Mus musculus: one gene and its partners. The protein of the gene in region 1 interacts with the protein of each later gene in a pairwise test. Links are inferred from orthologs where the notes say so. Each region holds a gene or a part of one and is shown on either strand. Other genes may lie near its edges.

Region 1 (4,505 bases):
GGTTTTTAAATGGAAAGCACTTTATCAAATGGGCCACCTGATTTCCACAGGACTGGATGTCCCCACTAAAAACACACACCATTTCCAGGTATCAGGATGCTTCTTTGGCACTCAGGCAATGTGGTACTGTTTGGGATTTTTATCTGACCTCTTAAGAAAAAGCATCAAAGTCTAGGGTGCAAGGGATACCTCCACCTGTGCTGCATTTTGTGAATACTGAAGCCGGTCCTCTACCTCTGGGTGTATACTGCACTCATGGGAGCCCGGGTCCATCCATAGGTTTAGCTCACATGGATCATGGCTGGGAAAAAAAAAATCTAGAGTGCTTCCTGACTAAACTGCTCATTCAAGCAGTCTCGGCTTCCTATGGGTTTCATACAAGGCCCTGCCAAACCCACTTTGGTCTACAGTGCCTATTAGAATGTCACAGAGACATGCTGGAAGAATCCTCAAAGCTCTGTTCTGCTGAGTGTTTTGAATAGGCCTTGTAAAGTTCACATGGATGCAAATATCATTAAATACAATGCATAACATTAAAACAAAATGCATTGCAGTATCTAGTACAAAACCCACTCTCACTTTAGAAGATCATTCCAGACACCCCCTAAAACCCTGGAGCACCAGAGAAGGCTTTCCCAGAGAGTCTACTCTTAGTTCCTTATCATTTCAGAAGGGGCATTTCCCCACAGTGCTTTCCTTAACAAGGGAAGGGTTCATTATAAGATCAAAGTAGGAGGTTTTTAAAAGAAGAGAAGCCCTTGTAAAACTCCCCTTTTGGAGCGTCTATAAAAGAGAAGTATATGCAGATAAAAACAACCAGAGGAAGGTATGTTGAGCTCATTGGTGCTGAAAAATCTTGCATTTTGTTCATTACCACTAACTTAAAATGCAAGAAAGCCTTGATTTTTATCATTATTCCTTTAACCTTTAATTCAAACAGCAGTTCATATTTCAAAGGTGACCTCCAAATGCACTGGAGAAGCCTTACCACAGCTGGGTGCCAGGAAGAAATGTAAGATATTTGGGTGAGAAAGGTTGGATTACTTTTTTTTCCCCTCATGGAATTTCCATCTTCTATTTCACTTTGAATTTCATCTTTGAAGAACATACCAGAAAGCTCCTTTCTTAATGACAAAATAATCTCTCCCCACCAAACATCTTCATGCAGTGCTTCTCAGTCCCTAAAGGGCACCAGAACCAACCTGGAAGGCTTTTTAAAGACTACCGGAGCCAACCCTGCATCTCTGGTCAGTAAGTCTGAAGCAGACCCAGGAATATGCATTTTTACCAAGTTCATCGGATGTTGCTGGCTGCCAGGTGAGCATGCCAGGAGAAATGCTGGCTTAGAAGGCACACATTGATTCCACCAATCCCATTTCATTTCTCCAGTTCAGATTTCTACCCATATTTCAAGGAAGGGAAGAATACATGTATATTCTACCTCAAAGGTCCGTATATGAATTTTAATTCTTCTGATTGTAACTACAAGAATGGCTGTTCCCACCCTGTACTCTTCAACACTTGCAAGGGTCTCCACAGGAGCCACTTTACTGAGAGTGACTTTGAAGTCGACTCAAAGTCATTAGCTCCATGCTTCCTGTCTGTATTCTGGAGCCTCACAATGCAGAGAGGGTTCTGTTCCCATGGACTTTATACTAAGGGTCTTTGCTTCAACACTTCTCTGCCATGCTGGAATACTGTAGGCTTTTTAGTAAGCTTTCCTGGGCACAAGTGTCCACTGGAACAGAAAAGAGGTTATTATACCTGGGGGTCAACAGGTCTGAGCATTGGGGGTGTCCTTGCAGGCTGAACCCCACTAATGCTGAAGGACTCTGATCTTGGGGGCAGGTTGGGGTCCGAGATCCTGTTGGCAACCTTGTGAGGCATGGCAGGTGAACTCTGTCGGTTGAGTCTTGAGCGTTCTTCTACCTAGAAAGTCAAAGGAAAAGAAAATCTCAATGGTTAGAAGTCAGTGCTCTGTCCTGTAAGGCTTTTCTATAGCAACCCACAAAGCCATTCTTACGCCCCTCTGATGAATTCAAAGAGCCCAAATGTGTCATTTCTGTTTCATAGCAAGATCGTTTTCTCTCCTTTCTCTTCTTCTCTTTTCTTTTCTCCTTCTTATGGAAGTATTTCCAGCAAGTATGCAGGGCCCTTGAGCTCTTGACCTTACAAGACCCATTAGCTTGTGCTATGTCAGGTAACTGGGCATTCTTGGCCTGCTAAGAGCTTGTCTTGCATCCCTTGAGCTAATATCCTGCTGATTAGTCACAAAGCCATAGGATCAGTCAGGGAGATGGTGTGCCCGCCAGATAATCAAAGGGGACTATAGTAGGCACTGAGACAGCTTAGGGGGAAAATAGAAACTTGCTTTGGGTTGACTCATAAGACAGGGGGACAAGAGCCACACAAGGACTGACTGGCGAGGGCGAAGTGGCACACAAGATCTCTACTCTTCTTTGCAGGCTGCTGATAGGCACGTGGGCGTCCTGGATGCTGCTTAATGACATGGCTGTCTTACGCAGACTTCCTGTATCATTTTCTTTTTCTCTTTAGGGCCCTTTCCTTTCAATTGTCTCTCCCTGCTACCCAAAATACACTGCTCCTCCCCTAGCTTTCCATTCCCAGCATGGACTCTTACCCTACACCCTCCAACTCTCCTCCTGCTCCTTCCTGCAATCTGGACCTTCCTGTTCCCCTCGCCCCCACCTTCTCTCCTTTCTACCCATTGTCATGTCTTATTCTCCAGTGTCTCAGAGAGCTAGTGCTTCTTTATAAACAGATTCTCTGTCACTACCAGTCAGTCCATGTTTATAGGAGCAAATAGACTGTTCCCAAGGATGACCGTAAAGAGAAAGTTAAATGAACATGATGGGCATCAAAAAGCAAGGTGGAAGTCATTAGTTTTTTTTTTTTCTCTTTTAATTTTTTTTTCTTTCCATTTTTTATTAGGTATTTAGCTCATTTACATTTCCAATGCTATACCAAAAGTCCCCCATACCCACCCACCCCCACTCCCCTACCTGCCCACTCCCCCTTTTTGGCCCTGGCGTTCCCCTGTTCTGGGGCATATAAAGTTTGTGTGTCCAATGGGCCTCTCTTTCCAGTGATGGCCGACTAGGCCATCTTTTGATACATATGCAGCTAGAGTCAAGAGCTCCGGGGTACTGGTTAGTTCATAATGTTGATCCACCTATAGGGTTGCAGATCCCTTTAGCTCCTTGGGTACTTTCTCTAGCTCCTCCATTGGGAGCCCTGTAATCCATCCATTAGCTGACTGTGGGCATCCACTTCTGTGTTTGCTAGGCCCCGGCATAGTCTCACAAGAGACAGCTACATCTGGGTCCTTTCGATAAAATCTTGCTAGTGTATGCAATGGTGTCAGCGTTTGGATGCTGATTATGGGGTGGATCCCTGGATAAGGCAGTCTCTACATGGTCCATCCTTTCATCTCAGCTCCAAACTTTGTCTCTGTAACTCCTTCCAAGGGTGTTTTGTTCCCACTTCTAAGGAGGGGCATAGTGTCCACACTTCAGTCTTCATTTTTCTTGAGTTTCATGTGTTTAGGAAATTGTATCTTATATCTTGGGTATCCTAGGTTTTGGGCTAATATCCACTTATCAGTGAGTACATATTGTGTGAGTTCCTTTGTGAATGTGTTACCTCACTCAGGATGATGCCCTCCAGGTCCATCCATTTGGCTAGGAATTTCATAAATTCATTCTTTTTAATAGCTGAGTAGTACTCCATTGTGTAGATGTACCACATTTTCTGTATCCATTCCTCTGTTGAGGGGCATCTGGTTTCTTTCCAGCTTCTGGCTATTATAAATAAGGCTGCTATGAACATAGTGGAGCATGTGTGAAAGACTTTTGTTCTAGGTTTATCTTACCCTGTCCTGTATTTCTTAAGGGTCAGTGTAATGGTTGTGCATCTCAAAACGGCAAGACAATACCACACATTACTCTCCTCACCCTGACAACTCATCTGAGTGAGCTCTTAACTCATTTCCGTTGACCCAATATTCAGGTCTGTTTGCATATGTTTACACACCAGCTAAGGGTTTTTAATTTTCTCTTTGCTGCCTGATTTCAAATAAAATTCAAAAGTTCTATTACTTCTTATCTTTCCTACCCTCCTTTGAATCTTTCTAGAGAGAAGTCCAATTTCCTACTCAGAGTAAGTCTGTTTTAACCTTAAACATTTGAACATGCTACATTAAGCCACAGATAAAAAGTGGTCTGCCTCTATGATGTGTAATATGAACATCTTTTTCTTCACTAAGGCTTTGTAGGGCATGTCCAATTGGCCTCCACTTGACTTTGGCTTTGAAATTCCATGTCTTAAATGTTTCCTACATATCAAATCATACTAACCACAGAAGGCCACTGATAGAAAGTAGAAAGTGTTCACTCTGTTTATGAGTGTATAAAGCATCATATCAACAATAATTAATTATCCATTATACTAAGCAGAATAGTAAAACTAACTACTGTTACAGACCT
Region 2 (5,230 bases), on another chromosome or scaffold:
GACAGCCTGGGCTATACATAACAATAAGACATCATCTCAAAAGGAGCAAGAGAGAGAGGTGGTGAAACCACTCAGTGGATAAAGATGTGTGCCACTAAATCTGACTTGATTGAGTCCAATCCACAGGACCTACATGGTGACAGGAAAGCTGTAATCCTTGTAAGTTGATGCACAAACACATAAAAATGAACAAGTGAAAAAAAAAAAAAAAAGAAATTCAAACAGACTTCATTAAACTTTTAAAAATATAGAATTGTGGGCCGGGCGCACGCCTTTAGTCCCAGCACTTGGAGGGGCAGAGGCAGGCGGATTTCTGAGTTCCAGGCCAGTCTGGTCTACAAAGTGAGTTCCAGGACAGCCAGGGATACACAGAGAAACCCTGCCTCCAAAAAAAAAAAAAAAAAATTGTGATTTTTAAAATTGATTCCATCAAATTAAGTAAGATTCAGAGAAAGTACCAGGAATGAAAGCACATTTGTACTCTCCATCAAATTATCAGTAAGCTCCTGGGTGGCCGTGGGCTTGGGGTGGAGGCTCACCACTCTTAACTAGGAAGAGTAGGGCTAAAGATATTTGAGACACAATATAGTAATGTTCTCATCCATCACCATAATAGCCTTTCTACTTCATAATGGACATGGAAAAATAGCAAAAAATGTAAATACAAAGTTACAACACTCATAAGGTTCATTAGAATTACATTGTCATATTTACAATTCTTTACAAGAAACTAAAGTGAGCTATGCTCTTTATCACAGAAAAGGTCCTATGCAAGAAGCAACACAAGAGAAAAGGTCTATTTAAAGAGCTCTTAATACAAAATAACCACTGTCTATTTTCTCATCTTTGATGTTCATCAAGAGAAAAAAAAAAAACTATTTTAGTGAAAACTAGTATTCTTAACTAGATTTTTTTTTTCACTATACCATGCTTTTTGTAGCCAAATATCCCTAGCATTCATTAATTTAACACCCATTTGGCTAGAATAATTAAAAAAAAAAAACTAGCCAGAGCATATGTGGAGTTTTTTTAATACATGCACACACATGGACAGTAAGTACTTGTTTCAGAGCAAGGATACTGCCTTTATTCCAATTACTCAATGCCCTTCTTGAAGAAGAAAAAAAAAAGGTAGAAAAACTGAGATTCTAAGATCCACTATAGAGAAATGCCTTAATTGTCCCTACAATTAATACTGAATAACCTTACAATCATTAAGGATGAGAAAAAAACCCAGTGAAAGGGCAACTGAGCATTTCACAGCTTTGCTGGCGCACCCTTACTCCACCCAGTCCTCTCGGCTCAATGGCTGCTTATAGCAGCCACAAATATTAGCCCATTTTTAAGGGGGTGGGAGGATGTACCAAAACAGGGTATGCTCTGTCAAAACCAACATATGCACAAATATTTTGCGAAAAAACTGGTTTCCTTTCTGACTCTTAAAATTATATATACCAGCAGCTTTAAATATATTACAGAAAATCCTTCCCTCTGAAATCAAACAATGATCTTTTAAATAGACCGTGAAGGAGTAAATTACTCTAAATTCATATTCTGTGTTAATAAAAAAACACAATTTGTAACTGCCAATTATTTGCACAACTATGTCCTGAAAGACACATATTAGAAATAAAAGCTTGCTAAAGCCTTAATACCAAATCAAATTTTAAAGTTAAAGCTTTTAATGTAAATTCAGCATAGTATTACTAGCATATCCAACTAAGAATATTCCTAATTAAGGGATTGAATCCTGCAGCAATCAAGCTCTACTGCAGGGGGAAACACAGCAAACAACTGCTGTGGCAAAATGAAGAGAGAAGACAATATTACTGGCATGAGGCCCAAACAAAGTCTCCACCATCCCACCCCCAGAAAAGAAATTTCACACAAAACAAGCCAACCCAACAAAAAGAGAATTGCTAAAATGACCTTTATGTTACTGGATCTTTTAAAGGTTGTGAATCTTTAGGAGGGTGTGTTTGAAATTAAAGGTAAGAAAAGCAGTAATTTTATTTTCTCCCAATTGTCTCTTAAAGGGGGGGGGGGGTGAGGAGGAGGTATCCTTGACATGACATCGCCCATTGAGAATGAGACCACAAATCTGGTACTCTTCAAAGGCACAATTTCTTAGCCAAAAATACTGATAGGAATTACACCCAAACCCAACCTCAACAGAAAATTTCCTGCGCTCCTCCCAAGGAGTTTCTTGCTAAGTCACTGGAAAAAGCAGGCAGGATAACAAATAAAGCCAGGCACCTTGCTTTCTCCTATCTCAAGACTGAAATTCTTTCCTCTTGGGAGACGAAATCAGCCCACCGTCTCAAAAAAACATTTTCTCACCTGGGAGGCTAGAGAGGGTAAATAGTCACAGCGTTTCCTAATGGAGTGGAGAGATGGGATGAAGGGAATGATCGAGAACCTGGGAGCTCAGTGTTAGCAACGTCAAAAGACAACTCCCGTGCGAGGAGTCAGTAGCAAAAAGGAAAATCCTGCCCGATTCGGTGGGTGGATGCTGCAGATCTTTACTGAATGCAGAGGCTGGACCACCACCGCACCGGGGGGCCGAGGGCCTGAGCGGCGGGCCATCCTCCCCGGGTCCACCCTCAACCTAAGGACAAGCGGAGAACCCGACGCCTGGAAGGCCTGGTAGCTGCTGGAGCCCCGGCGGCGAGTCGCCAGCCAAGGAGGGGTGGGGACTGCGGGTTCGCTTCCGCGGCCCAGGAGGGCTGAGCCCTTTCCCCAAGATCAGAGAGCGACCTGCTATCCACGCCCTTCCCACCCAAGAATACTTTTCTTGCTAAGTCACGGCGGCAGGAGGGCGATGCCGCCCGAGAGGCCACGGCTTGAACCCTCAGCAGCCTGAGTAGCCCACTGCCAGGGTCGGAGGAACCGGAGCCAGGGCAGCGCCCTCCCAGGCCAGGGCCCCCTCCTCGGTGCCTCTCACTCAACGGCCGTCGCGGCCGCCATTTTGAGAGCGAGGAGAGGAGAAGAAGAAGGAGGAGGCAGCGGCGGCAGGGGGAGGGGAGAATGGGAGGGAGGGGACCGGCGCAGCCACATCGTCAGGCCGCCGGCCCGGCCCGCAGCCACCCGAGCGCGATGGAAGAGACAGAGGGGAGGGCGCAGAGCGTCGCCGCCTTACCGGAGCGCTGCACCACCGCCTCCGCAGGGCCTCTTCCGTCCTTCACTCCCATCCACCAGCGGGGGAGGGGGAGGGAGAGGGAAGGGAGGAAGGAGGGAGGGAGGGAGGGAGGGGGAGGATGGCGCGCTGGGCCCGGTCCCGGGGAGGGGGAGGGGAGGGCCGCGGGCGGGCTCCTCGGCCGTTCCGGGGCTCGAGCCCTAGCCCAGCGTTCGCTCGTCCTCTCGCTCGCGCCTGAGCGCTCCCCTCCGGGTCCTCCTCGCTCCCTGGACTCTCGGCTCGCTGCTCCTTCGCTCCCTCACTCGCTATCTCGGCCGCCGGACTCCGCCGCCGCCCCGCCGCTCCAGCTCCGTCTGTCACAGGAGCTGCCCCAACGCCCTGACGTCACCGCGCCGCCGCCGCCCCAGACCCGCCAGGAAGAGGGAGGGGAGCGGAGGGCCCGCGGCGCATGCGCGGGCCGGGCCTGGGCCTGGGCCTGGGCCTGGGCCGCGCGCCCTTCCGCAGGGTGAGCTGGCGGCTGTACCCGAGCCGACCGGCGAGCTTGCGTCCCGTCCGCGGCTTTTCTCGCTTCTGCCCCCTGATCCCTTGGGAAGCTTCCCTTTTGCTCTAAACTGCCTGACGGCTGGCGTCCATCACGACTCTTGCTCTGCCTCAGCGGTCACTGCGCTGTCCCGGCGGACCGCGGGTACCCGGTGCACTGGCATTTCGGCCCCTGCTGGCTAGAGCAGGAGCCAAGCCAGGATGCTTCCTTTCTGCCTTAGCCTGTGGGATTATTCCCCATCCCCCACCTACCCACCCACCCAAAAGGACCAAAGTAAATTGGTGGGCTTGGGCAGAAGAGCTGTTGAGGTTAAAAGGCAGATGGATTGCCTTGTGTTCCTTTCTGGTACAGATTTTTAATCGGAAGGAATCGCCTGTAGATGTGATTCAGCTATTCTTTTCCTTAGTCACATGTATTCATCAGAGATTCTGGAAACTGAAATCCACAGAAAGACCTGGAACTTTATTCTCTACAAGACATGTCTGTGTTTTATTATATTATGAATTGTATATTGATGACAAATCTGGGGGGATTTGATGTCAATTTATTCCACAAAGAGACACTTGATTTTTGAAAGGGAAGGTTTGGGGCTCTGAATTATTCAATATAGGATATTTAAGTATTGAATGAGATTACTTCATTATCCACTTGTGTTTTCCAGCACTGAGGCTTAACTGATTCTATTGCGTCCCTCGATGAAGGTAAATACTGTAAAAATCACTTGGGAAGCTGCAGAGTTAATGTCTCCAGTATGAATCCTGGTGTCACCACTGGGAATGTGACCTTGACTAAATTATCATATCTCTTTTTGGCCTCAGTATCAGTATAAAATAAACCCAGTAGCCAAACAAAGTGGCACATGGCACGTAGCCCAAGCTACTCAGGAGGCAGGAGACCAGCAAGAGCCCAGAAGTTCTCTGCAAGCCTCAGGAGCATCCTTTTTATAAAAAACAAAAAACAATGATGATAGTAATAAACAAGCTAGGGTGACTCACATCTGTAATGCTAACACTGAGGAGACGGAGGCAGGAGACTTGCCACGAGTTTGAAGCCAGCATGGTGTATATAGTAAGACCCTATCTTAAAATAATGATTTAAAGCTGGACATGGTGTTTTAATATCAGCACTTTGGAGGCAGAGACAGGTGGATCTTTCCAAGTTCAAGAGCCTTCTCTACCCAGTGAATTCCAGGACAGACAACTACATAGAGAAACCCTGTCTCCAAGAATAAATAATAATGGAGCAAACCTTGGGTGGAAGGAAGCACACATCCCTTATTCCAGCATGGAATGGCTGAAGAATGAGGATCACAAGTTTAAGGGCTACCTGGAAAACTCAAATGTTTTTAAATTTATCACTTTTAAAAGGGTGAAGAGACAGCTCAGTAGGAGAGTACTTGCTGAGAGAAAGAAAAGAAAACATTATAGAATTGACATAGCTGTGAGGCTTTGTGAGATTAGATGTTGCATGGGTTAAGGCCTGAGGTTTGATGTGTAACTCATGTAACCATTACTATCTAGTACCAAAGCCAGGCTCTTTGTATTGGGATGGGC
Region 3 (5,022 bases), on another chromosome or scaffold:
AAAGGCGTCTTAAGAGAAGGCTCGGATTTGAGGGCCAGGCCCCCGGCAGTACTTCTTGGGTAGCCATGGGCGTGTCAGAGGTGTGAGTGCTCACCGAAACCTTCCACTTTCCCCACGACTCTCACCCCCACCTACAAGTGTTAGTTAGCTGTTAGCTCCTGTAGGCTCATGGTGGGGTCCTGGAGGTCCAGCCCTGCATCCCCCTCATGGGTGGTGCTCCCATTTGACAGGCACCTCTGTACAACCACAGGGCCAGCGCCCTTCTTTCTAGGCCTGATGTTGCACAAAAGGTGACTGAGTGTTGGCACGGGTTTATGGCCAGCAGGTAAGCAGGGCAGGCTGCTTGGTCCCCCTGGGTCTTGTGTTCATGTCTCAGATGGGGAGCTGACCTTGCAGGGCTGCCTGAGAGCGCCTGTGCATAGGGTGGGAGTGGCACCCCGTACCTGCTCGAATCAAGCTCTGTGCCCTGTGACCTTGGAGTCCCTCACCTCACTGCTACCCTCCGCTTCATTCCACAATGAACCATTCCAGAAGCTTACAAATAAAACCCGGTTAACTCCCGTGCCAGCTTTCTCTTCAGGCACCATCTAGGACGGCAGCGCCACGACCCTGCTAAGGGTGACAAGTTTCCAAACAGCCGGGAGAAGGGCAGCGAGGCCGGCCCGCCCCCCACGCCTGTCCGGAGGGGACTAAGGCCTAAGCATTCTGTGCCCAAAACCAGTTTGACCCGGACTTCATAATCAGTGGAGAGGAGTCTCGCCAGCTGACCCACGCGGGGGGCGGGGCTGGACCATCCTGAAAGTCGGGAGACTTCCCCTGCCTCAGTTTCCCTACAATGTGTCCCGCAAAGCCAGCATAACACAATGCCCACTCACACCACCACCACCACCTTCTTTGATGCCCAGGGACACCCAACCCCGTGACGACCCCTCCTCCAATAAAGGGACATGGCTGAAGTGGAAGAACTGGTGACCCTCTCCCACGTGACTGGGATGTGATGGCCGCTCCCCGGACCCCCGGGAATCCCTCCAGCCCGTCCCCAGCCAGGCACACACGGACCCTGTAGAGAAAGGTCCTGGGGGGTGTGCGGGGCACAGGATTCACATAGGGGCGGGGGCCACGGGACTCACCCCAGATCGGGGCGCGGCCCGCCCCGGGCTTGGCAGTTTCGGGGCGCAGCCCGGGCCCTCCCTGCTACGCGGCAGTCCCGGGGCAGGGCAGGGCCGATCGCACGCACGCCACTCGCCGAGACCCCCGCGAGCAAGAACCGGGCCTCCCGGGGTCGCGAGCGCGCGGGGGCGGCGCGGGCGGGGCCGTTGGCGGCGGCGCGGGCCAGGGGCGGGCGGGCCCGGGCCCCACGTGTCCCTGGCGGGCGGGCCAATAGGCGCCCGGCTTTTGGAAAGATCGCCATATATGGACATGTTCTGGGGCCGCGCGCGCCCCCGCCCGCGCGCGCGGCCCGCTCCCGCTTAAATAGCGGCGGGGGAGGCCGCGGTCGGTCTCACACTCCGCCGCCGGCTTACACTGCGCTTCTTGCCGCTCCTCCGTCGCCGCCGCGTCCTTCGCCGGTAAGCTGCCGCTCCCCGGGCTTGGCCCAGTGACTTCCTGTGGCCCTTTCTTCCCGCTCACCCTGCCTGCCGCACCGCTGCGGAGCGGAGCGGAGCGCAGGGCGCCTGACGGGTGGGCCTGGGTCTGCAGCCGCGGCTGGGGGCAGGGCGGGGCCCGACGCAATGCGCAGCCCCTCCTCGCCGCGGCGGAACGGGGCGCTGCCGGTAGCCGACGGTTACGCCGCCCGGGGTGGGGACTGCACTCCTCCGGGGTGGCTCGGCCCTGGCCGAGGACATTTTCTGAGTTCGGTGAGGGCTGCGCTAATTCCGGGGCTTCTTCCTGCGCAGATCGCAATGGAAGAAGAAATCGCCGCACTCGTCATTGACAATGGCTCCGGCATGTGCAAAGCCGGCTTTGCTGGCGACGACGCCCCCAGGGCCGTGTTCCCTTCCATCGTAGGGCGCCCCCGACACCAGGTTAGTTGAGAGGAGTGGCCTCCCTTGTGTTCTCTCTGGGCCCGGGTCGCGCGGTGGGTGGGGCGAGTCTGACCGCGGCCTTTTCTCTCGCAGGGCGTCATGGTGGGCATGGGCCAGAAAGACTCATACGTGGGTGACGAGGCCCAGAGCAAGAGGGGTATCCTGACCCTGAAGTACCCTATCGAACACGGCATTGTCACTAACTGGGACGACATGGAGAAGATCTGGCACCACACCTTCTACAATGAGCTGCGTGTGGCTCCTGAGGAGCACCCGGTGCTTCTGACCGAGGCCCCCCTGAACCCCAAAGCTAACAGAGAGAAGATGACGCAGGTATGCTTGAGCCGGGACCTTGCCTCCCCTTGGGCGTGACGAGTCATTTTGTGTTGTGCCTCATTTCCTGACATTCAAGCGTTTCTTTGGTGTTTCTAGGGTTCTGTTCCTCTTCTCCTGGCATTTCCTCCCTGAAGCCTCCAGGTTTCTGTTTGCGTTTCTGCTTGCGTTCTGTTCTTTTTTTCTTCACACATCACATTTGTGGCATGCAGCATGCAGAGTGTGGGTGTGGGAGGCTCAGGGCCCCTGCTACTCACTCACTCAGGTGTTCTTTGTCTTTCCACAGATAATGTTTGAAACCTTCAATACCCCAGCCATGTACGTGGCCATTCAGGCGGTGCTGTCCTTGTATGCATCTGGGCGCACCACTGGCATTGTCATGGACTCTGGTGACGGGGTCACACACACAGTGCCCATCTATGAGGGCTACGCCCTTCCCCACGCCATCTTGCGTCTGGACCTGGCTGGCCGGGACCTGACAGACTACCTCATGAAGATCCTGACTGAACGGGGCTACAGCTTTACCACCACTGCTGAGAGGGAAATTGTTCGTGACATAAAGGAGAAGCTGTGCTATGTTGCCCTGGATTTTGAGCAAGAAATGGCTACTGCTGCATCATCTTCCTCCTTGGAGAAGAGTTACGAGCTGCCCGACGGGCAGGTGATCACCATTGGCAATGAGCGGTTCCGGTGTCCGGAGGCACTCTTCCAGCCTTCCTTCCTGGGTAGGTGTCCACAACATGATTTAGGAGCCAAGGGGCTCTCAGAAGGGATGGAACACACAGAATGTAGTGGCTAAATGAGCTCTGTTCCCTAGGCATGGAGTCCTGTGGTATCCATGAGACCACTTTCAACTCCATCATGAAGTGTGATGTGGATATCCGCAAAGACCTGTATGCCAATACAGTGCTGTCTGGTGGTACCACCATGTACCCAGGCATTGCTGACAGGATGCAGAAGGAGATCACAGCCCTAGCACCTAGCACGATGAAGATTAAGGTGAGTGGCTACCACCCGGCCTGAGCTGGCCTTAGGACCTGTGGCTGGGAAGTGGGACCCACAGGAAGGGCATGAGTGCTCATTCAGTGTTTTTCCTCCACAGATCATTGCTCCCCCTGAGCGCAAGTACTCAGTCTGGATCGGTGGCTCCATTCTGGCCTCACTGTCCACCTTCCAGCAGATGTGGATCAGCAAGCAGGAGTATGATGAGTCAGGCCCCTCCATCGTCCACCGCAAATGCTTCTAGATGGACTGAGCAGGTGCCAGGCATCTGCTGCATGAGCTGATATTGAAGTATCAATTTGCCCTGGCAAATGTACACACCTCATGCTAGCCTCATGAAACTGGAATAAGCCTTTGAAAAGAAATTTGTCCTTGAAGCTTGTATCTGATATCAGCACTGGATCGTAGAACTTGTTGCTGATTTTTGACCTTGTATTCAAGTTAACTGCTCCCTTGGTATATGTTTAATACCCTGTGCATATCTTGATTTAGTCCTTAGTTCATGTGGCTCGGTCACTTGGGGGCTGGGGAGAGCACGCTGTAGATGAGAAAGCCCCAGCCTGGTGGATCTCTGTGAGCACCACTGAGTGATCTGTGCAGGGTATTAACCAACAGCAGACTTCCAGGATTTCCTGAGGCTGGCAAGGGTTCCTGAACCAGTTACCACTCCTTCTTGCCAGTCTAACAGGGTGGGAAAGTCCGAGCCTTAGGACCCAGTTTCAGTTCTGGTTTCTTCCCTCCTGACCACCATCGGTTGTTAGTTGCCTTGAGTTGGGAACGTTTGCATCGACACCTGTAAATGTATTCATTCTTTAATTTATGTAAGGTTTTTTGTACTCAATTCTTTAAGAAATGACAAATTTTGGTTTTCTACTGTTCAATGAGAACATTAGGCCCCAGCAACACGTCATTGTGTAAAGAAATAAAAGTGCTGCAGTAACTGACCATTGTTTTTCTGGTTTGGCACAGGGCTGTGGGGTAGGGTGGAGTTGGGAAATGGAAAGGTGTGTCTGGTTGCCTAGCAGCAGAAAGCCTTCCCATTGGTAAGAAAGCCTGTACCCCAGCTTAAAGCCAGCCATGCTTGGAGCAGATTGTTCACTCCCTGCCACATTCTCAAAGGGTAAGGAATTAGGCCAGACAGGCAGCCACAATGAAGGGCCTCACACAGAAGCATTGGTGAGGAGAGCAGGCAGCTCTGGTGTTATCAAGTCATGAACAAGTAAGGAATGTAGCCATGGTCAAAAGAGAAGTAACCTAGATGTCTTAACAATTGCAGCCTTTAAGAGGCCATGCAACATTATTCCTCTATACAGGAATGAAGCTTAGCCACATAGACAACCTGGTAAGACTGGTTATCCAAAGGTGGTGCTGTCAGCACAGGGTTAGGGTTTGGCTGCTCAATGGGAACAGTCTAGGGTGATGAGGCTCTGGAATTAGGGCTAGAGATGCATTTCAATAGATGTTGGAGCTGAGTGCTTGCCAGGCCCTAGGTTGAGTTCCAGGAACCACCTGAATTGAGCATGCTGGCATGCCCGTTAGCAACTCAAGTGGAGGTGACAGGATCAGGAATTAAAAAGTCTTTTAGATTTATTTATATGTAAGTACACTGTAGCTGTCTTCAGACACTCCAGAAGAGGGAGTCAGATCTCCTTATGGATAGTTG
Region 4 (5,092 bases), on another chromosome or scaffold:
ATAAATAGAACCACGTAAGGAAATACTCTTTCTACCAGGGCAGTGAGTGCTTACTGCCATTTCATCAACATGTTTATCATATCCTGGGGCAGATTCTCCAAGAGTGCCAGACAGTCCTCTGCTGTAGTGCCTAGCCACTCCCAGTAGACAACTAACCACACCCAGTCAGTAAATGCATCTCTGCGGCAGGCATGCAGTTGCGCGGCAGGCATGCAGTTGCGCGGCAGGCATGCAGTTGCGCGGCAGGCATGCAGTTGCTGTAGGTGTAGTATGAATGTGCTAAAATGGTCTCTAGTGGCCAACCCACTTTGTCCCCCAAACGGTGTCCTCCCTCATCATTTGAATTGCCAAGATTTCTATGAGTTTTAAAAGCAAATAAAATGTTCAATTTAAAATTAAAACTATTGAGCATAAGTCAGAATGTTGATGAATTTAAATTATAGCTACATACGAATATAGGTGAAGCAAATTATAATTTGTTCAGTGACAGAATGTCTCTTGGTACAGTCGTTTGGTTCCCTTAAAAAGACAGTGCAGCTTATTCTTGCTGTAACAGCCTTACAGGAAGTGACTGCCTCCTCAAGAGCTGTATGCTTTGAGTCTGGCCAACAGAAAGACAGCATTACTCAGGAGACCTAGATAGAACCAGTTTACAGATAAAGAGATCAAACCTATATTTGCCTATATGTCTAGTTCTATATGTTTTTATACATACACGCTTGTCTAGATCTAGATATGAGGGTATCACACTTTACATATGTAGATAAATATATATTAAATTTACATTTCTATCCAGATTGAATGCATGTATATTATCCATAGACTTAAAGTAAGTGCACCTATATTCTAGTGTGCCTATATCTAGTCTCAGCCAGAGGATGGCAACAGTAAGCTGTAACAGAAAGAGAAGAGAAGCATGACCTGGTGTTTGTCCTTGGCTTTATAAAAGAGAACCATCAGATGAAATACTAAAAATGAAAACTTCATCTGCTTGTCAGACATACAGACGCTTGAAACAAAAATTTAAACCTATTGCTACGCCCCCAGCAACTCAAAAGTACTATTCTTTGGTGCATATTTGGGCTTTTTCATACAATATATTTTGGTTCCCTCCCCCAGTTCCACCCTCCTCCCCGATCTTCTCCGTAGTCACTCTTTAAAGCTGAAGTAGGTTGGTAAACCTGTATCTGTAATACTTAGGATTCTGTTCGTAACTGAGCTGGGGAGTCAGGGCTCTGAGCCTGTCTCACTAGGCCAGCTTTGGTTTAAGTGGGGAAGGCTGTTCGCAGCAGCCTCTGCAGTGCCTGTAGGGTCTGGACCAAGTCTGCAGAGATCCTGTACCTGTACGCGGCGATCTCGATGTCCAGGGCCATCTTGACGTTAAGGAGATCCTGGTATTCTCGCAAATGACGAGCCATTTCCCACTTGGTTCCCCGAAGTTCATTTTCCAACTGCTGGATGGTGTCCTGAAAGGTACAGGGAGTCTCTAGAAACTTCCTTCACAAGACACTTGCTATTCCCTGCCCCGAGCCCTTTCCTACCCACCCCCGGAATTCCCCCTTCCCCGCCAGTCCCATGAGCCTCGCAGACATCCCTCCTAGCTATCCCTCCTTCTTTTATGATAGTAAAATTCAAAACAAAGCAACAAAAATCAACCAGACAGTTCCTAGGCACAACACACACGGAGACTGGCAAGCCTAGAATGCCCCTAGAAGGGAGCACTGAGGAATCTGAGGAAGGTCCCTAGCGGACTTTGCCCCCCCCCCAATCCCCGCCCAAATTTTGGACTGAAGCCAGCTTTGAGAGCTCCGCCCATCGCGGCTGGAGGCGGGGGGGGGGGGGAGTGGAGAGTAAGGGGGTGAGGAGGAGGGGTGGAGATATGGGTGGGGGAGGGGAAGGGGAGCGAAGAAGGAGGCAGGAATACAAGAGACTATCTGTGCTCCTGCTTATTAAACGGTGTGTTTCTCAACGACCAGAATGTGCCTTTTTACTTTTACAGTAAAATCTATCGTAGGAAAGCAAGTTTTTGAAGGAGATGGGAATTTCTAAGTAGTTGCGGCAAGTGGGTGGGACAAGGAGGAGGGGCGGAGCACAGACCTTGGGCTTTGGCTAACCCGCGTCTGCGAAGCTCGTGCGCGCACTGGAATGCGGCCACCAGGGAGCGCGACCAAGAGGGCCTCTGGGCGCGCTCTCGAGTGTCGTGTCGGGGGCGCGCGGCGCTGGCGCTGGCGCAGGCCGGCCGCGCAGCCGCGGTTCCTACCTGGTAGCTGCTGAGGTCGTGGTTGTGGCGCTCCTCGATGTCGCTGAGCTGCCGCTCCAGGGACTCCTTAGTGCCTCGCACCGACTCGAGCTCGATGCTCTTGGACTGCAGCTGGCGCCGGTACTCGGCGATCTCTTCCTTGGCAGAGCGAATGGCCTCCTTGTTCTGCTCGGCCGCCTCGGTGAGCTTGGCGTAGCGGCATTTGAACCACTCTTCGGCCTGGTGCATGTTCTGGTCTGAGTGACACTCGAGCTGGGAGCGGATCTCCTTCAGCGCCGTGGAGATGTCTGTCTTCAGGTAATCTTTGCGCTCTACCGTGATGTGCGACGCCTGGATCTGAGCCAGCAGGTCGGCCACCTCCTCTTCGTGATTGCTCCGCAGGAAAGCCACCTCATCCTGCAGCGACTGCACCTTCTTGTCCAGCTCCACCTTAACCATCGACGACTCTTCGATGTCTTTGCGCAGCGCGCGAATGGCAGCCTCGGTGTCGTCCCGCAGCCGCGCCTCCTCCTCGAAGCGCTCCTTGAGCCGGTGGATGTCTTCCTCCAAGTGATCGGAGTCCAGCTGCACTTGAGCCTTCTCGTGGTTCACCATCTCGAGGGTGGCGCGCAGCTCTCGGATCTCCTGGTCGTAAGCATCACCCAGCTGGGCGTGCGAGGCCTGCTTCTGCCGCAGTGCCTGGATCTCTGCTTCGATCTCCTTGTTCTGTTGTTCCAAGTAGTGCACTTTCTCGATGTAGCCGGCGAAGCGGTCGTTCAGCCCCTGCAGCTGCTCTTTCTCGTTAGAGCGGGACAGTTTGTAGTCGCCGCCGGAGCCGCCGTTGAGCAGCGACGAGGACTGGCTGAAGTCGAGGCTGCTCTCGGCCGAGCTGAGCATAGCCGAGCTGTAGGCGAGACGCGGGGCGAGCGCGCTGCGCTTGTAGGAGGAGGACACGGTGCTGGGCGAGCCGCGGGACCAGGACTGCGAGCGGAAGCCGCTGGACGGGGAACCGCTCACGCGGCTGAAGCTGGAGCGGGTCTCGGTGACCCGCCGGTAGGCGGACGGGTTGCCCAGCGAGTCCAGCGTGTAGCTCATCTTGGAGGCCTTGGGGTGTGTGGCTGTCACAGCGTTCTGCCGGCCTCGCCGCAGCCCCTTTATAGCGGAGCAGCTGGTCCCGGGCCAGGGCCCCGCCCCGTGGAGGCGGCGGCCGAGGAGGCGGGGACTGCGGGTACCGGGCCGGGGGTGGGGGGAAGGGGGAGACAAGCCTTGCGGTGATTCAGCGGCCGCTCCACGTGGGCCCGCACCACACTGGACCCCACACTTGGGTGTCGCCGGGCCGGCCTTTTCCTAGCGTCCCCTTGAGTTCCAGACCTCTTGTCACCCGGTAGCTTGCCCTTCTCTGCTTTTTCACCAGCAGTTTGCAGTTCACAGCTTTGGCGCAAGTGCCCTTTCCCAGCGCCCTTTCTTTGTCTCGCCACTCTCGGCCCTCTGAGCAGCTCTTCTCTGGCTTCCTGACTTTCGTCTGGCCCCCTACCTCTTAGTCTCTTTCTTCCTTACTTTTGGCCGTAGGGTCCGCTGTTCTTTATCACACACACCCCTCCCACCTCTCCACGAGGCCCTTCTCCCTCTACTTTTTTTTTTTTTTCTTCATCCGGCATTTCCCTTGAAGCCCTTTCCCCTGGGACTTTTTTTCTTTGCAGCCTCGACTTTCACCCCTTAACCCCCAACTCTCTTTTTGTTCCCCCATCCATCCTTGTCTTTCTTGTCTCCCCCCCCCCCCACTCCTCGTCTTAAAGCAGCAAGAGATGAGCTGAGAGTTATGCAGAAGAAAAAAAAGAGAGAGTTTTTGAGGAATGGCCCGCCGGAAACCTCCGGAAAGGGGACAAAGAAGACAGGCCGGGGTAGTCATTTGTGTTAAAAGTGGAAAGTGGCACTCCAGTCTGCTTAACTGTTGGGGGACGACTGCAGCTTCCAGCAGGTAAGGCGCTGTGACGCCCAAGGATCCGGCAGCACCAAGGACAGCGCCCAGGCGTGCCCATGGGATTCTGCTGGGTTCGCAGCCTACCAGAGTCCAGAGGAGGGTCACTTCTGGCTCATCTCCTCCAGTGAATACTATTAAACCTGTTTGTAGGGGCTGTTTGTTTGTAGGGAACAAGCTGGAAATCCCACACTAAGACAGTGCAGAGTTGGCACAATGAACAGACTGCAGATTTTGAAATCAACTAAAAGCCATTCAACTCAGTTAAGGAAAATAGAGACTTGAAACCCAGTTTGACTTTACCAATAAGTGAGGGATGTTAGGGAAGGAGGAGACACAAGGCCTGAAATTTGAAGGTCAACTACTCACCGGGAAGGGGAAATCCGAGATGAAAAAAAAAAAAAAACCCAGGGAGATAGTGTGTATGTTAAGTTTGAAAACTGCATAGTCATCTTTCTGTCTGGGTACTACTTACGTGTACTGTTACAACCGACAGGGCAACTGAATTAGTTTTAAATTAATTGAAAGGTAACTGGACAGCCTCATCTCAGTCTTGAATAAGCCAGGTGGTCCCTCTGCCCCCATTTAAAAACGCAACCTATTTCCTTATGTTGATTTTGATGACCGATTTGGACCCACCATCCCTTAAGCATGCTTATTTAAACAAACATTCTACAGGGGTTTCCTTTGACTGTATATTTGAACTGAAAATGTCCTTCTATTTTGGATTACAGTTTGGGAAGATTCAGAGTGAAAAAGTTCAGAGTCTTGACAGAGAAAGTGAGAGATGGACTGCAGTCCTGCGGGGGTGGGGGTGGGGGTGGGGTGGGGGGTGTCACAGGAAGGAGTGGGCGTTGTGAAATGCTTACTGTGGG
Region 5 (5,038 bases), on another chromosome or scaffold:
GTGTATATATATTTACGTGAATGCTTTGCCTGAAAGTATCTATTTGCACCAGGTGCATACCTGGTACCCATGTAAGTCAGAAAGGGCAGGAGGTCCCCTGGAATTGGAGTTAGAAATGCTTGTGAGCCTCCAGCGAGTGCTCTTAACCACTGAGCCACTCTCCCCCAGTAAAAATATTCTTAAGTACCATTTTTTATTTTGAAAGATTTCTCTTCTTTTATGTGTATGGGTGTTTTACTACATGTATGGCTATGCACTGTGTGTGTGCCTGGTGCTCACAGAGGTCAGAAGAGGATGTTGGAGCCGCTGGAACTGGAGTTACCATAGCTGGTGAGCCACTATGTGAATACAGGGGATTGAACCTGAGTGCTGTGGGGGAGCAACAAGTGCTCTATCTCTGAGCCATTTCTCCAGTCCCATTTGTTTTAATGGTGAGTGCAAAGAGTGTGAATCACAGTTGGTTTTGGTTCTCTGTATCTGCAGGTTCAATATCCATAGGTTCAATAGACTGTGCACTGAAAATACTTAAGGTTAAAAGAAAATTCTGCCAATACTAAACATATGGATTTTTTTCCATGTCACTATCTTTGAGCAATAACTACTTATACTAGATATTAGTAACCTAGAGATGACTTAATCATGGAGGATGTGTATAGGATACGTGCAAATGCTATACCATTTCCCATAAGGAAAGTGAATAGCTGTGGAATCCCTTAATACTATCTAAGATCAAGCCGTGTTCAACTTCCCCCAACTACCTCAGTAATAACTTCTCATGATTACCTTATTTGATCAGACTCTTACCGTCTTATTTTTAGATGATATATACATTTAATCAGCAACAGCTCTTTTTCTTCCTTTTTGTTCTTCTTTTGTGGTGTCTCATTTGGAACTCTAGGTCTTCTAATACTGAGCCACACTCTTAATCCCCCACTCCCACCTCTATCACATTATTTATTTGTTGAAGAAACTAAATATTTGTCCCAAAAAGTTTATTACATTCTGGATCCAGTCACCAATACCACCGATGAGTCATTAACCTGTTCTCCACTCCGTGTTTCTCCACCTTAGTCTAAAGGCCTAATTACATTCAAATTCCCCTGATGAGAATTCATAGGTGGTGCTGTGTAATTTTTATTGCATCATATCTGCAGGGACATAATATCTGCTGCTTCTGCTTTAGTGACATTAAGACTGGTCATTGGGTTGAGGTGTGGAGGGACTGTTCGATTAAAAATTCCCTATCTTCTCTCCATTCAATACTCTGAGCAAATTATTGATCATTTCTTTAATGGCATGTGTGCAGATGCCCTTGGAGGCCAGCTGGAATTACAGGCAGGTGTGGGCTGCTGTATGTGGGTGCTCAACCACTCAGCTCTTCTAGAAGAACAGCGAGCACCCTTAATTCTGAGCAATCTCTCCAGCCCCCATTTCTTTGAGATTTTAAACTTCTCTTGAGTCTCTGAAAAAGAACTGTGAGAGATGGGTGTGGTAGTACATGCCTGTAATTCTAGCACCTGTTAGGATCAAAATTTCAAAGCCAGTCTCTGATATATATATGTAATATATACACACACATACATACATACATATATACAGTCTCTGATTGATATATATGTATGTATGTATGTATAAAAAGTCTGAGGCTGGTCAGGGCTTGTATTTTTTGTTTTTGCTTTGTTTTTTTATTTTTTTATTTTTTGAGACAGGGTTTCTCTGTATAGCCCTGGCTGTCCTGGAACTCATTCTGTAGACCAGGCTGGCCTCGAACTCAGAAATTCGCCTGCCTCTGCCTCCCGAGTGCTGGGATCGAAGGTGTGCGCCACCACTGCCTAGCAAATATATGTTTATTTCCAGTCTTACATTCTGGTAAATAAACTGAATTAACTACTAAATAATACTGCATTACTCATTATTAATTAACGTAGTTAGTAAGAAATTACATTAAATAACATGAATAAACTACTAAATATTGTTGCAGAGGGCAGGAGAGATGGCTCAGGGATTAAGAGCTCTTGGCACTCTTCCAGAGACGTTAATTTGTTCAATTTCCAGCACCTTGGCTTACAACTGCCTGTAAGTCCAGCTCCAGGGAATCTGACATTCTCTTGTGGCCTCTGCATGTACTCATACTCACTTGCAGAGATCCGCACACACATACAGCAAAGTGAAACTTCAAAGCCAGTACATTAACAGAACTATGTATGACATGCCAAGGGAACCCAGTAAAGGTGCAGAGGTCTGTTTATAGAAGTTACAGAATAGCATCTGAATCGAAGTCCTGAGGCTGAGTTAAGCATCTCCAACTTTACCTGGTTCTATTTGTGCGGCTTCTTCTAGTTCCTAGGAAGTATCACAGTTCTTGTCTGCTTCAGAGTTTCTGATCTCTGCCGAGCTTATGATTCTAACAGCCTTTCCCTGGCTGTCTCTAACCTGCTTGAGAGGTCCATCATGTCACTTCCTCAGTTTGGCTCTTTATACACTGTGCGCACAAGTGTGTATCGGTGTATGGTTATAGGACTGTGTGGTCGCAGGTGCCTATGGAGGCCAGTTACAGACAGTTGTGAACCACCTGATGTAGGTGCAGGGAATCTAACTTGGATCCTCTGCATGCTCTTAACTGCTGAGCCATCTCTCCAGCCCTAAATTTCTTCACATCACCACTCATATTTTGTAACAGCATATTCCTGGGTGGGATTATTTGCCCTGAATCTTAGTGGAATGCAAGCCTCGAAACGGCAGGCATCCAGTATGGTGTATTCAGTGCACAATGACACCCACATAGACTTACTCAATAACTACACAATGAATGAAAGGAGTAGCAGTTAGCAGGCTGTCTCCCCTGATCAGCCTCGTTTCTGTCATCACTGCCATCGCCGAATGACTCAGGTTGAGTTCAAACCAGCCCAGTGCCTACCCCACCAACTACTGGCTCCTCTGCAATATTTCTGATTGTGGATCAGGGCCTCTCTCTGAGGCCTCATACAGGAATAGTTTACCTTGGGGGTTTTGAGCACAAACTTCTGTTTGCCTTCATCCTGGCCCAGCTGTGCCTTCAGTTTTAGGAGTTTCGTCACCTCCTCCTCGATCTGTGGAGGGAAAAACGCCGCTGGACTGACCATTCATCACTCCCCTCCCTCCCGTCCCCTCGATCCTCCTCTCTCTTAGGCCTCGCTTCTCTCGGGACCCACCCTAGCTATCTCCTCACTCAGCCCCGTTCACTCTACCAGCCTGGTTCCTTCATCCACATGTCTGTCCTCCAGCCAGATCACCTTCTATGCTCCTCCGGTTTTGTCCCGACCCCTCTCCTTCCATCCGAGTCGCACCTACCTGCTCAGCGGACGCTTTCTGCTCCTTAAGGCCCCTCACATGCGCTCCCTGGAGTCGTACCAGCTCCTCCAGAGCAGCACGATCTGCCATCCTGCCTGCCAGCAGGAACTGACGGCTGTCTAAAACCCGCCTTGGTGGACTCAGCCTAGGTTCGGATGACTTCCGGTTACCGAGTCCCCGCTTTCGTGCCTAGAGCGTGTCTGGCGAAGGTGGAGGGAACACTTCCGGGTCAGGGAGCGTGAGATCCTCGGTGTTCAATCCCACCATCCGAACTAACTCCGATCTCAGGTGTTTCCAGCTCTCGGTAGCTTTCCAGAAATCGGACTGGCCTCGTTCCCAGTCCCTTGACTTCAGTTCCAGAAAGCCGGCGTCCTGCAGCACAATGCCCCACCTGGGGCCACTGCGTCGCAGGGCCTGGGCTGCGCTGCTCGGCCAGCTCCTGCGACCTCCCAGCACTGTGTGCACCCGCGGCTGTCATAGCCAGGTGAGCCGCCCTGAGCCGGCTCCTTCCCGGTGGAGCCTCCTAGCCTGAAAGTCTAGACTCGTGGTTTCTATTGTATTATTACAATTGGTTTTTATTTTTTTATTTTCTTTTATGAGTATGGGTATTTTGCCTGCATGCATGTGTGCTCTGTGTATACGCCCGCCTAGGCCAGAAGTGGGCGTTGGAGCCCCTGATCCTGGAGTTATAGCCGGTAGTGAGCCACCTTGCGGATACTGGGAGTGGAACCCAGGTCCTCTAAAAGAGCCATCACTCCAGTCCTGCAATTAGTTTTTTTATTGATTAGCCACTTTGTACTTGCACTGCCCTAAGCGTTTATTATTGAGGAAATCTCAGAAGTTGAGAGTTTTATCTCCATTTTACAGTTGAGTGAGCGGAGATCATAGGGTTAAATGACCTCTATGGATATATAGCAACTGAGTTATATGAGGTTTCTTCTCAATCTTGAACATATTAGAATTTGGAAAATATCGATACAGCTATTCCCCCAAACTATAAATGAACTGAGTTTATGCCCATCAGGTGAATTTACCGTAACATGAAGCTCAGAGAAACATTTTCAGACATAGTTGGATTTTGGAATTAGAATCAGGGTTTGGGGACTTGAACTCAGGTTTCTTTTCGGGGAGAGAGACTCTCCAAAGTATGTAATCATCACTATTTGTATTTCTGGAAGGACCTGTGGGTTTTTAGGCCTGATTCCTTTTTATAGAAGAGTTTTCTCTATTAATTGGTGTGGGTGGGTGTTGGTGCGCTACACAGCATTTCTGGTCTTTGCTTTGCCTGTATAGTCTGGGGATTGAGCTTAGGTGGTCCTGATAAGTGGCCAGCAGCTGTGCTCACAAGCGTCTCCCCAGCACTAAGTCAGTGGTTGTTTTACCTGTCTTCAGACAGTGGATGCTTTGTGTCACCATGCGCAACATTGTCACTCATAGCATTTTACTGTTTCTGTTGTTCAAACAGGAAAGTTATTCCTATCATTCCATAGGTGTGTGTGTGTAAATTGTGGGAACTGAATTTCTCCTTTGACTACGTGAATGGGTCTCAGGGATCTAACTCAGGTGGTCAGACTTGGTGGATATCCACTGAGCTATCTTGCTGGCCCAGGTTTGTTCTTTTTTCTTTGGCGGGTTTCTGTCTTTATGCTCCACTTACCCTTTCTCCAGGTCTGATTCATTCATCCCCTCCCTCCTACTTTCTTTCTTT

The links.
Region 2: the proteins of Tnik (region 1) and Pafah1b1 interact in a two-hybrid assay, tested with the Homo sapiens proteins (2 studies listed by BioGRID and IntAct). The link is inferred for Mus musculus from reciprocal best matches to the Homo sapiens genes TNIK and PAFAH1B1.
Region 3: the proteins of Tnik (region 1) and Actg1 interact in a two-hybrid assay, tested with the Homo sapiens proteins (2 studies listed by BioGRID and IntAct). The link is inferred for Mus musculus from reciprocal best matches to the Homo sapiens genes TNIK and ACTG1.
Region 4: the proteins of Tnik (region 1) and Nefm interact in a two-hybrid assay, tested with the Homo sapiens proteins (2 studies listed by BioGRID and IntAct). The link is inferred for Mus musculus from reciprocal best matches to the Homo sapiens genes TNIK and NEFM.
Region 5: the proteins of Tnik (region 1) and Hars interact in a two-hybrid assay, tested with the Homo sapiens proteins (2 studies listed by BioGRID and IntAct). The link is inferred for Mus musculus from reciprocal best matches to the Homo sapiens genes TNIK and HARS1.

The regions. Positions count from the first base shown.
Region 1 is NC_000069.6:28,601,600-28,606,104, reverse strand, and holds part of Tnik (traf2 and NCK-interacting protein kinase), read right to left. Parts: intron 1,930-4,505; coding exon 1,765-1,929; intron 1-1,764. UniProt on the Homo sapiens protein: Serine/threonine kinase that acts as an essential activator of the Wnt signaling pathway. Recruited to promoters of Wnt target genes and required to activate their expression. May act by phosphorylating TCF4/TCF7L2.
Region 2 is NC_000077.6:74,720,860-74,726,089, forward strand, and holds the start of Pafah1b1 (platelet-activating factor acetylhydrolase IB subunit alpha), read right to left. Parts: upstream 3,526-5,230; 5' UTR 3,140-3,525; intron 3,000-3,139; exon of another isoform or gene 2,341-2,999; intron 1-2,340. UniProt on the Homo sapiens protein: Regulatory subunit (beta subunit) of the cytosolic type I platelet-activating factor (PAF) acetylhydrolase (PAF-AH (I)), an enzyme that catalyzes the hydrolyze of the acetyl group at the sn-2 position of PAF and its analogs and participates in PAF inactivation.
Region 3 is NC_000077.6:120,344,971-120,349,992, reverse strand, and holds Actg1 (actin, cytoplasmic 2), read left to right. Parts: upstream 1-1,497; 5' UTR 1,498-1,568; intron 1,569-1,895; 5' UTR 1,896-1,901; coding exon 1,902-2,024; intron 2,025-2,117; coding exon 2,118-2,357; intron 2,358-2,456; exon of another isoform or gene 2,457-2,501; intron 2,502-2,579; exon of another isoform or gene 2,580-2,643; coding exon 2,644-3,082; intron 3,083-3,174; coding exon 3,175-3,356; intron 3,357-3,459; coding exon 3,460-3,603; 3' UTR 3,604-4,306; downstream 4,307-5,022. UniProt on the Homo sapiens protein: Actins are highly conserved proteins that are involved in various types of cell motility and are ubiquitously expressed in all eukaryotic cells.
Region 4 is NC_000080.6:68,121,480-68,126,571, forward strand, and holds the start of Nefm (neurofilament medium polypeptide), read right to left. Parts: upstream 3,526-5,092; 5' UTR 3,335-3,525; coding exon 2,261-3,334; intron 1,467-2,260; coding exon 1,342-1,466; intron 1-1,341. UniProt on the Homo sapiens protein: Neurofilaments usually contain three intermediate filament proteins: NEFL, NEFM, and NEFH which are involved in the maintenance of neuronal caliber.
Region 5 is NC_000084.6:36,779,681-36,784,718, forward strand, and holds the start of Hars (histidine--tRNA ligase, cytoplasmic), read right to left. Parts: upstream 3,526-5,038; 5' UTR 3,421-3,525; coding exon 3,331-3,420; intron 3,090-3,330; coding exon 3,000-3,089; intron 1-2,999. Other genes in the region: Hars2 (histidine--tRNA ligase, mitochondrial isoform 1 precursor), read left to right, coding at 3,713-3,814. UniProt on the Homo sapiens protein: Catalyzes the ATP-dependent ligation of histidine to the 3'-end of its cognate tRNA, via the formation of an aminoacyl-adenylate intermediate (His-AMP). Plays a role in axon guidance.